Linked DNA regions of Rattus norvegicus. The protein of the gene in region 2 purifies or fractionates together with the protein of the main gene of each other region. This does not show direct contact. Links are inferred from orthologs where the notes say so. Each region holds a gene or a part of one and is shown on either strand. Other genes may lie near its edges.

Region 1 (5,906 bases), on a different chromosome or scaffold from region 2:
CAAAGCACAGGATAAAAGGATTTGCCAGACCAGAATTGATGTAGAAGTTTTAATAAAGGACACTTGGGAGGTGGTGCTGGAGAGATGGCTCAACTGATAAGGAATACTCCTTGCACAGAAGCCAGGTATAATTCCCAGCACCCACATGGCGGCTCACAACCGTCTGTAACTCCAACTCCAGGAAACCTGATACCCTGGCCACCATACGCACAGGTGTATGGCACACATGTACATGGTGTGTTTGCCTGCAGGCAAAATGCTCACACACATAAAATAAATGAATCCTTAAAAAAAAAAAAAGTAGACACCAAGGACAGAAACACAGCAGGTAAATTCCTGAACCATACATCAGAAAGGAACAGGGTGATTTTATACCAATTTGAAGTCACCTGACTTTGCCTCCTGGGTCATTTGTGTCGGACGTTTTGAATAGCATTCAAGAGTTGAGTGTCTTGAGGTAGTAAACCTTATGGGGCTGGCAGCTGGGGGAGCCACAGGGAGCTGTTGGGATTTAGGTCACTGTATAAACCTATCATAAGGTTAATTTTAATGTATTTTATATATTTGGAAGTTTTGTCTGCATGGATGTGTGTGCACCACATATGTGCCTGGTGACCATGGAGATCAGGAGAGGGCGTTGTATCCCTTAGAACTGGAGTTATGGTGATTGTGTGCAACCATGTGGGAGTTCCTAAGGGAACCTGGGTTCTTTGCAAGAAGAACAAGTGTTCCTAACCACTGAGCAACCTCCCAGTCCTCTTTGAATTTTATATAATTTTTCACATTTATTTACTGTGTGTGTCCACGTGCATGCACATACAGGCTATGGTAGACATACAGAGATCAGAAGACAGCTTACAGGAGTCAGTTTTCTCCTGCAGTGAGTTCCAGGGATCAAACTCACAGTGTCAAGATTGGCTGGCTGCAGGTTACCATCTCTGTTGTTGTTAGTTTTGTTGTTGTTGTTGTTGTTTTGGGTTTTTTGTTTGTTTGTTTTTCTCCTTTTCTTCCTTCGAGGCAGGCTTTCTTTGCGTAGCTCTGACTAACCTAGAACTTACAACGCAAACCAGACTAGTTTCTAACTATCAAAGATCCACCTACCTCTGCCTCCCAGTTGAAGGTGTTTGCCACCACAGGTATTAAAGAAACCTCTTAAGATTTAAATTTTAAACGTATGTGCACTGCGTGTGTGCATGCATGAGCACACTTGGGTGTATGTGTGTGCCTACAAAGTCTGATCCCATGGAGTTCACTTAAAGCCTGTTCCAAGCCAACCAACATGGGTGCCAGGAATTGAACTCAGATCCCCCGAGAGAGTAGGCAATGCTCTTAACCAGCAAGCCACCCCTAGCTCCTAGCCCTGCTTCCTGTTTTCTATCTCGATTCCCATCCCTCAGGACCACTCTGTGGCCCACATACCTTCCCTCCGAGCATGCTCTGAGCACGGAAGGTTTGTGCAGTGAGCACAGCCAGCCTCCCCAGATCCAGGAAAGGATTGTGCAGCCCACATCCATGTTCACAGACACTGTGTGACCTGAGCCTCTGCTCCCCGGCCCATTTGCAGCATCTTCTCACCATCCACCGGGGTGCCTGCCTGGCCAGCCTGGACAAGTTGCCCCCCACTGTGCTTACCAGGCCAGCAAGGGGATATATCTGTTCCATCCCCTTCCAAGCTGCCCTCCCAGGGTGCCTGCCTGGCCAGCCTGGACATGTATCTGTTCAGCCGCAACATTGTTGTTTTATCAGCTCAGCACAGGGCACTTGGGTGCTTGCCATCCTCCCTGCAGAGCAGCAAGCAGAGGGCTATTAGCCTTGTCTGCAGCCAACCCCAGAGGCAGCCTCCGTCATGTGTTTTCTGGAAATCGAAACTAGACTAGGTTTATAAAGCATTTCCGGGGAAGAGGCTGAGGAAAACCACATGGTGGGGCCTTTCTCAGCTGAACAGTCTACAGAAAGCTTCGAGCTGCAGCCAGCAAGGAGGCTCCAGGACCATCTGCAGCAGCTGCCTGGACAGGTGACTGACTACCTGTCTCTTGCTCCCAGGTGAGTCCCCGCTCTACACAGCATAATTTCTGGGGGGGGGGGTCGCAGAACACAGGAACACCTAGACCTGCAGAGCCTCTAAACAGTTAGGCAGGATGTTCACTGAAAGAACAACTGAAGGGGTGAGTGGGGTACAGTTCATCCCTCGGCCTTCTCCTGGGTCTGTGGATTCTCACCCAGGACTAAACAGACCTACACAGTGGTACTGAATGAGCCAGCATAGGCAGGCACATCCCAAGTTCCCACACAAAGGAGTCAGGCAGAAACAGCCCCTGTCATCCAGTGGACAAAAATGTCCACATACCCTGCAATGTTCCCAAGGCCTAAAGTTCCTGACCCAGCATGGACAAACCCTATAACCACAGCTTATAGTAAATGGAGGGGGTGGGCACCCAGGGCACTTTGCCTGGGACTCAGGTTTCCCGGAACCCAGACCTCCTTGGGATAAGACTGGGTGCACAGCACTAAGGATCAAGCTTCCCACCCATCATCGAGTTATAGAGTTCAGCGGTCAGAGCCTATAGTGAGAATGCTCCCCTGGTAGCCAGACTCCGCCAGCCACACTGAGAAGAGTCCAGTGGCCTTCCCCCATTAACATCCCAGAGTCTATAGGGGATATTAACATGAGGTTTACATAGAGGAATGTATAGCTAACTGGTCTGCCCTATGCCTGGGCTGTAAATCCCAGACTGGGCTGATATTTCCTGGAGACAAGCTTCCCCTCCGGCTGTCACCAGGCAACAGCTTTCTCCTTTCAGCATGAGACTCCCAGGGGGAATTCCAGTTCTGTCCTTGCTTCAGTAGTACGATAACCGAAGGGAAGGGCACGAGTTTGTCTTAGACTATCTTCACCCTTGCCAAGATGGCTACAAGAGCCCTGGATCACTGAGGTCTTGCTCGTGCTGCTCTGGTACAGAATGTCTGGGGTGGAGGACAATCCTGGTGTTTCTACTGATCCTGGGATAACCTCTACTGCTGGTCTCTGGGCCCCTGGTCTGAGTAACAAAACAGTTTGAGATTCGTTGCTGAGTTCCTGCCCAGGAGACAGAGCTCTACAGCACCGTCCACTACCAGCCCCGACCTCACTGCCCTCGGGACTAGAATGAGTCTACCAGGGCTGCTGCACTTTGCTCTCTAGGTCAGCCCCCTTCATGCAGGGCCCGAGAGAAAGTGCCTGGGTGGGGCCCATTCTACAGACAGGCGAGAGAGTCTTAGTATTGAGTCCCTGTGTGTCAGCACCTTGGCAGTTGACCCTGACCCATCTCCCACTCATCCCCAGATCACGCCATGACCTCTGCAACTGTCTCTGTCACTTCCTCCTGAGAGTTCCCTGCTCCAACCTCATCCACAACACCCTCCCAGACTGGCATATCTTGTCCCTTTGGGGCACACCCCGAAGGGGGCTGCTGCCTGAAGATAAGACCAACCGTTGAGGGATAGCCTCTTGTCTATTTCCTGGGTTCTCGTTGCCAGGAGCCCTCAACCCACCTGCCTCATCTGGGGAGACTTACTGTCCTGAAGGTTGTCCCATAGAGCATGTGAGAGAGAGGCCTGCATAAGGGTCATCTCATGGCCATCTGGGCCTTACGGAAGAGGGACCACCCACAACACCATCCTGTCCTCCACAAACTTGACAGGGGACCATGGAACTACCAGTCTCCTCCGGAGAGCTGTGGCCAGTCTAACTTTGTTGTTCCTTCTGCTGCAGGTTGGGCTTCCAGGTCAGGCAATGGCTCTTCTGTGGCTCCTCTCTGTGTTCTTGCTGGTTCCAGGGACTCAAGGTGAGTCCTGCTCAGCGAAAGGTCCAAAACAGAAGTCAAGACCGTGCGCCTTGGTGCCTTGTTCTGTGTGGGTCACACACACACCCCCTCCCCATCTTTGCAGAAAAGCCAGGTGGCATCCTGTAAGACACCATGTCTTAGGATTCTCTGCCATGTGGATCCTCAGTCATTCTGAATGGTGGCCCTGTATGGGCCCTGCCCCCTCCCCGAAATGCAGGTGTTGGAGAAGAGACCAAGGAATCTTTTTTCACCTCATCAGTGGGCCAAGGAGGGAGAGTGCAGCCTGTGTTGTCCTGGAGTTTGAGCTCTCAGGTCACAGGCTAGAATGCCAGAGAGTCCCTGTGGAACAGTTTACAAACTGCACCATGGGTCTGAAAGCCTTGCCCATCCTGGACCCTCAGCTGAGTATCTCGCTCTAGCATGGGTGACCCCAATTCAAGCACCCAGCCGGCATGGACAGAGACGGGAGTCCCAGAGAGCAGGGAGCAGGACTCCCTTGGCTACCTGTGCCTGAGGGCAGACTGTCTCTAGTCCAGTGTTGTCCCCTCTAGGCAGACACTGTAGGGATGAGGTAGCAACTGTATGTGCGAGTTGGGATATCAGCGCTGTGCACCCCGCTCCTCTCTTACAATGGGACCCCACACCACAGCTCCCTCGTCCCCACACTTTGGAGGGAGCAGGCAGCATGGCAATGTCCTGTTGCTGAGTGGGGACAGTCCAGAGGCCATGAGACAGGTGGCACTGGGGTGTCAAGACATCACCCATCGTAAGCCGAGGTTAATCTGCTCTCTGCCTGTGTCTAGGAACCCAGGACCCACCTTCCCCTTCATACCAGCGTTTCAGAGAGCCAGGAAAGAGCCTCTCCCCCCCCCCCCAAGTTCACTCAGTAGGCTGAGAGCCAAGGTGTCCTCTTGGAGAAAAAGACCCAGAGATGAGAGCTAGATAGACCATGGCCTCTGTGGGCTCATCAGAGTTTTCACTCTTCTTCAGTGGGTAACTTTTTTTTTTTTTTTTTGGTTCTTTTTTTTCGGAGCTGGGGACCGAACCCAGGGCCTTATGCTTCCTAGGCAAGCGCTCTACCACTGAGCTAAATCCCCAACCCCCCCCCTTTTTTTTTTTAAAGATTTATTTCTTTATTTACTATATATAAGTACTCTGTAGCTGTCTTCAGACACACCAGCAGAGGGCATCAGATTCCATTACAGATGGTTGTGAGCCACCATGTGGTTGCTGGGGATTGAACTCAGGACCTCTGGAAGAGCAGTCAGTGCTCTTAACCTCTGAGCCATCTCTCCAGCCCCCCCCCTTTTTTTTTAAAGATTTTTTTTATTTGTTTTTATGTATGTGAGTACACTGTAGCTGTCTTCAGACACACCAGAAGAAGGTTTCTGATCCCATTACAAATGGTTGTGAGCCACCATGTGGTTGCTGGAAACTGAACTCAGGACCTCTGGAAGAGCAGTCGGAGCTCTTAACCACTGAGCCATCTCTCCAGCCCTTCAGTGGGTAACCTTACACACACACACACACACACACACACACACACACGAATGCACGTGCGGGGAGGGCCCCTTGAAGTGGTTCAAGGCATCTCCAGAAGGCCACTCCACCCTGTTTGGGGTGACCTTTGCTCAACGAGAGAGCACACAGAGCATTGAGTACACGGGGAGTGGGCATCAGACCAGGCTAGCCCTCCTCCCAGCTAATCTCCACTCTCCTGACAGGTGCAAAGGATGGAGACATGCGCCTGGTTAATGGGGCCTCAGCCAGTGAGGGCCGCGTGGAGATCTTCTACAGAGGCCGGTGGGGGACAGTGTGCGACAACCTCTGGAACCTTTTGGATGCCCACGTCGTCTGCCGGGCCCTGGGCTATGAGAATGCTACTCAAGCACTGAGCAGAGCCGCCTTCGGGCCAGGTGTGGCTGAGGTCCCTGAGTAGTGCTCCTCAGGCATCCCCTCCCGCGCCCCAGTGAGCAGCCCCAGTCCCCGCCAAAGGTCCGGTTCCTACTCCAAGCGGCTCCTGGCTTTCCTTTTGTGCCCACAGGAAAGGGACCAATCATGCTGGATGAGGTGGAATGCACA
Region 2 (5,195 bases):
TCTTCCTAAGAAATTTTGAAGAGCCTATGAGTCACCAACCCCTATCTTGACTCTTAATACCACAGAGTCCCGTTGGCTCTTAGTACTGGAGTGAGTAATTTGCTCTTTAGGTGAGAAGGGGACTTGGAGTAGCTCAACTTTTGTTTGGAAATTTAGCTCTCCCTCATAATGCCTGATGTATCTTTGCTGTAGGTTCATTGAGGAGAAGTCTTCATTTGAATATGGGCAGGTGAACCATGCCTTGGCTGCTGCCATGAGAACCCTGGTGAAGGAATACCTGATTCTCGTCACACAACTGGAACAGCTACACAGGCAGGGCCTCCTCTCGCTGCAGAAGCTCTGGTTCTACATCCAGCCAGCCATGCGTACCATTGACATCCTGGCCTCCCTTGGTGCGGACCTGCTGGCAGGTGGAGGGCTCCCTAAGGCATGGCAGGGCCATTCTGTCTGGGGCTGGTCATTCATAACGCTCTCTGGTGGCATGGTGGCAAGGCAAAGTTCTTGTCACATCTTGTTTTAGTGACCTATATAAGGAAGGCTCCAGTGCATTTCCTTTCTCTTGTTGTTGAAACAAGGTCCTCTTCTGTGTTCTAGACTAGTTAGCGAACTCAGTTGTACAGTCCGCACTGGCCTCTTACTTGCAGTCGCCTTGCTTCAGCCTCCCAAGTGCTGAGGTTTGGGCGTGTGCCACCGTGCTAGGCCTGGAGGCTTTTCTTGATCAGTCTTATTAGCAACTGTAGCCTTGGCATCGGAACATGGTACCTGGCTTGCTGGGGCTCCTATCCACCAGGGGTGCTTAGATGTCTGGGTAGTGAGCCACCCCTTTCTGCCCACAGCCACCTCCGTGGATAAAGGCGAGTGTGTTGGCGGGTCGACGCTGAGCCTTCTCCATGATAGGAGCTTCAACTACACAGGGGACAGCCAGGCGCAGGAGCTGTGCCTCTATCTGACCAAGGCGGCCAGCGCTCCTTACTTTGAGATCCTGGAGGAGTGGATCTACAGAGGCGTCATTCACGACCCATACAGGTAGGCTCTGCGGGTGCCAGACACCTTTCACTTGGACGCTCACGGTGCAGTAGGCTCTGCGGGTGCCAGACACAAGTCCTCAACATCAACACAATGGCTGTGAGCTGAGGAGCGTGTGTCACTCACTCACTGCCTTGCAGCTTTGTCTGTTGAATGAGGAACACTGGTATTAACTCTGGAGCCCACGTCCTTACTGCTTCCACGTGGTTGAATAGTGTGTCACTTGAGCATGATGCCTTTGATTATGTAAAGCAAATGACCAGTTGATAGAGAACTGGGGATGAAGGAAGCCCAGGCCTTGCGTGTGAAGCCCAGGCCTTGCGTGTGAAGCCCAGGCCTTGCGTGTGCTCTACCGTAGGGTGGGCCTTGTGTTTCTTTATGGAGGGGCCAAACAGGAGAATTTGGTGTGATGGGCCTAGTAGGGGACGCGGTTTCCTTCTGGCCACAGGTAAATGGTTCTTGAAGCTCTGTGGGAGGGTCTGATTCTGTTGTTGATAAACCTGTGTACCCAGGACAAGCCATATGTCTGTCCTGTTGCCATAATGCAAGAGTAGGGAAGAAGCCACCCAGCTCTGCAAATTAGACTCCTGCTCCCAAGTAAGGCTGGAAGTATGTGACCACCCCGAGGTTGTCCAGGCTTGTCCTGTAGTGGCCTGAAACACTGTGACTTCCAGTGAGTTCATGGTGGAGGAGCACGAGCTGCGGAAGGAGAAGATACAGGAGGACTACAATGACAAGTACTGGGACCAGCGCTACACTGTGCTGCCACAGCAGATCCCATCCTTCCTGCAGAAGGTAGCAGGCAAGATCCTCAGCACAGGTGACTATGCTTGGACCGCTCTCCAAGGAGGTCAATGGCCTCTTCATGCTGTGTCATGGGACCCGTGGGTCATCACAGCCTTCCAGGCCCTCTGCCCCTGAAGATGACTTAGCTGGGAATGGCCTACTACCCTGAGCTTCTAGCCACTGGTTGGCCCTAGTTCTCCATCACTTTATTCAGCCCCCTAATCAGGACGCTGTCTGCCTCAGACAAAGCCTTCTATCTTGGGTTTTACATCTAACTCCATCATATAGCAAAGAAAAGCCATGAGGAACCCACACCTTCCAGGCCAGCTGCATCTTTTAGTTTTATTGCACAGGATAGGGACTGATGTAGAGATTAGGCAAATCCTTGGGGCCTTAACATAGTGCTCTGCTCTGAAAGCTGAACAGAATCAGAAAGGGCTAGGAGATTACTTAGCAATCTATCTCTCAAGGCTTTTCAAAATCCTTCCTATAAAATACAGACCTGAAAAACTATTGCACAATCTTTCCAGGAAACAAATTGTACCTCATGTCTGGCCTACTTCCCCATGTTTGATTGGCGTCATAAAGGCCCAGGCCTGAGACTCAGCATGTACAGGGATACTGAGTCCACCTTCCTTTTTCTTTTTGTTCTCAGGAAAATACCTAAATGTGGTCAGAGAATGTGGTCATGATGTCACCTGTCCCGTAGCCAAAGAGATCATCTATACCCTCAAAGAGCGGGCATATGTGGAGCAGATTGAGAAAGCGTTCAATTATGCCAGCAAAGTGCTGCTGGACTTCCTCATGGAGGAGAAGGAGCTGGTGGCCCACCTGAGGTTGGACTTCACTTTGTATCCAAGGGGCTGAAAGTAGAATGTTCCTCTTAGCAACTACATTTTTATCTCTATAAGGGCTCCCTGCAGCCCCAGTGTGAGGTGGCAGGGTTTCCGTTCTCTAGTTCTCAGACCATGCAAGCCAACAGGTCTCTCAGCTCCTTGCTGTCAGTCCCTCCCCTTCCGTGTCTGAGCAGAGCAGCTCCATGTCTCAAACCTCTTCCTTGTATGTTGAAGGCAGAGGTCAGGTTATATGTTCAACAACCCTGGCACAGGTCCATCAAGCGCTACTTCCTGATGGACCAGGGGGACTTCTTTGTGCACTTCATGGACCTGACTGAGGAGGAGCTCAGGAAGCCAGTAGAGGACATTACGCCCACACGCCTGGAGGCTCTGTTGGAGCTGGCCCTGAGAATGAGCACTGCCAACACTGACCCCTTCAAAGACGACCTCAAGGTGAGTGTGGTGTTTACCATCATGGCACCTTGCTTCCGCTACACTGGAGTGAACACATAGCAGGGCCCAGTGAGGGTGTCCTACCGGATGTTCTTCCTATTTCAGAGGACACTGGCTTGCAAGCATTTTGTTAAGAGATTTGTGTCTGGTCTCACAGGAGACACTGTTTGTAATTTTCCTGTGAGTTTGGTCCATGTCAGTGTCAAATCAGGCCAACCCCTCACGGAGTGTAGGTGGACGGATGCTCTTTCTTCCTCAGGTTGGGGAGTGGTGTGAGTTATTCAGGGTCTGTCAGGGCTCTTTTCTCTGGGAGATACTGCATCAAGGCTTCATTTCATGCCGGTTGAGGTCTTCCATAACTTCTGCTTCCAGAGTTCATCCTGGCCACCAGTACATTTCTGTTGCCATCAACAGGGTGTGTGTTTGCGGCCATGCAGTAAGAGCTGTTATGGTTTCTAAGGTTGCAGGAGAACTCCACTTTCATCTCTGGGTCCCGTGGTTTGTCCTCTTTCCTCGCTCATGGAAGTGAGAGCTTGTCAGTCCCACTGATGTTCTTAGGAACTCAGTCTTGGTTTTAGTACTTCCTTCCTTTCTCTTTGTCTCTTCAGCTTATTGTTTCTGTTAGCTTTGGGCCTACTTTCTGTTGGTAGTTTCTTGAATTTTGAAGTTAGGCTATTTTAGGATGCTTTATTTTCCCCTATTTCAAGAGGCTCTATGATTTCTTTAGTGATTTGTTTCCATTTAGTTGTAAATTTTCAGGATTTTCTTCTGTTGCTTAGGATTTTTTTGTTTTTAATTTTTATTTTATATGTGTGGATATTTTGCTTGCACACATACCTGTGCAACACATGTGTGCAGAGGACAGAGGAAGGCATGGATCCCAGGACCTGGAGTTACAGACAGTTGTGGGCCACTGTGTGGGTGCTGGGAACTGAACCTGGGTTCTCCAGCTCTCTTACTTAGTTTTAACCTCACTATTTCATGTAAGTTTTATAACATCATGATGGTGCTGGGATTCTGCATGGGCTCTTCCTCTCTTGGCAGGTCTTGGATGGTTCTCAGTGCTGTGCACACAGCTTCCATCTGTTACGAGAGTGAGGCTGAGGCTCCACTGTTCCTGAGAACTTGGTTTTCCTTGCAATTCTGTTCTTCATGTATTTCTGGATCTCTTATTAAGTTCAGGAGTTATTGTGTAGGGTGCATTATTCCTAATGGCAGTCTGACCTGATCATCCAGGTGGACCACACAAGAGCCATCTCAGGTGCTGGCTGTGGGGCAAATGAGTCATGTCTGCTCACCTGATGTCCCCACCTGTGCTACTTTGACAAGCAGGAGTAGAGGGTCTACACGTTCATGACTGTTAGCAAGTGGTGAGCGTTTGCCTTGCTCAGGAGCTGTTTTTGCTTTTCTTCCTTTATTCTTTTTTTTTTTTTTTTTTTTTTTTTGGTTCTTTTTTTCGGAGCTGGGGACCGAACCCAGGGCCTTGCGCTTCCTAGGCAAGCGCTCTACCACTGAGCTAAATCCCCAACCCTCTTCCTTTATTCTTTATGCTTTACTTTTCTTGTCTTTATATTTTGTGTCTTTGTGGACATATATTTATGTCTTACAGGAACTCTTATCAAACTGGCATGTGGTTGGCTCTAACAAGTATTTAATTGTTAATGTAAACAGTATTGTTTGTCCATAATAATGACTTTCACGTATCTCACCAAGTATGCGTCACTTCACAGGTAAAATAAAAGATCTTCACTTGTAAGATGTATTCAGTTTCTCCTACGGTTCCTCATTCATAATAGCAACAACAGAGACATTTAAAATGTTGATTTAAGACCTGGAGAGATGGGTTAGTTGTTCAAAGTTATCTTGGGTTTCTATTGCTGTGATAAACACCATGACCAAAAGCAGCTTGGGATGGGTTTATTTCAGCTCACAGTTCCACACACAGTCCATCACTGAGGGCAGGAACTCAAACAGGTCAGGAGGCAGGAGCTGGTGAACAGGCCACAGAGGAATACTGCTCACTGCCTTGGACCTCATGACGTGCTCAGCCTGCTTTCTTATAAAACCTAAGACCAACAGCCCAAGGGTGTTATC

The links. The genes of interacting proteins can lie anywhere in the genome.
Region 1: the proteins of Tubgcp2 (region 2) and Lgals3bp purify together in Homo sapiens (affinity purification with mass spectrometry; 3 studies listed by BioGRID and IntAct, counting the BioPlex papers as one, with this or other methods). This does not show direct contact. The link is inferred for Rattus norvegicus from reciprocal best matches to the Homo sapiens genes TUBGCP2 and LGALS3BP.

The regions. Positions count from the first base shown.
Region 1 is NC_086028.1:104,123,851-104,129,756, reverse strand, and holds the start of Lgals3bp (galectin-3-binding protein precursor), read left to right. Parts: upstream 1-1,908; 5' UTR 1,909-2,043; intron 2,044-3,751; 5' UTR 3,752-3,772; coding exon 3,773-3,824; intron 3,825-5,548; coding exon 5,549-5,740; intron 5,741-5,868; coding exon 5,869-5,906.
Region 2 is NC_086019.1:204,227,768-204,232,962, reverse strand, and holds part of Tubgcp2 (gamma-tubulin complex component 2), read left to right. Parts: intron 1-192; coding exon 193-392; intron 393-836; coding exon 837-1,026; intron 1,027-1,700; coding exon 1,701-1,846; intron 1,847-2,467; coding exon 2,468-2,648; intron 2,649-2,920; coding exon 2,921-3,101; intron 3,102-5,195. UniProt on the Homo sapiens protein: Component of the gamma-tubulin ring complex (gTuRC) which mediates microtubule nucleation.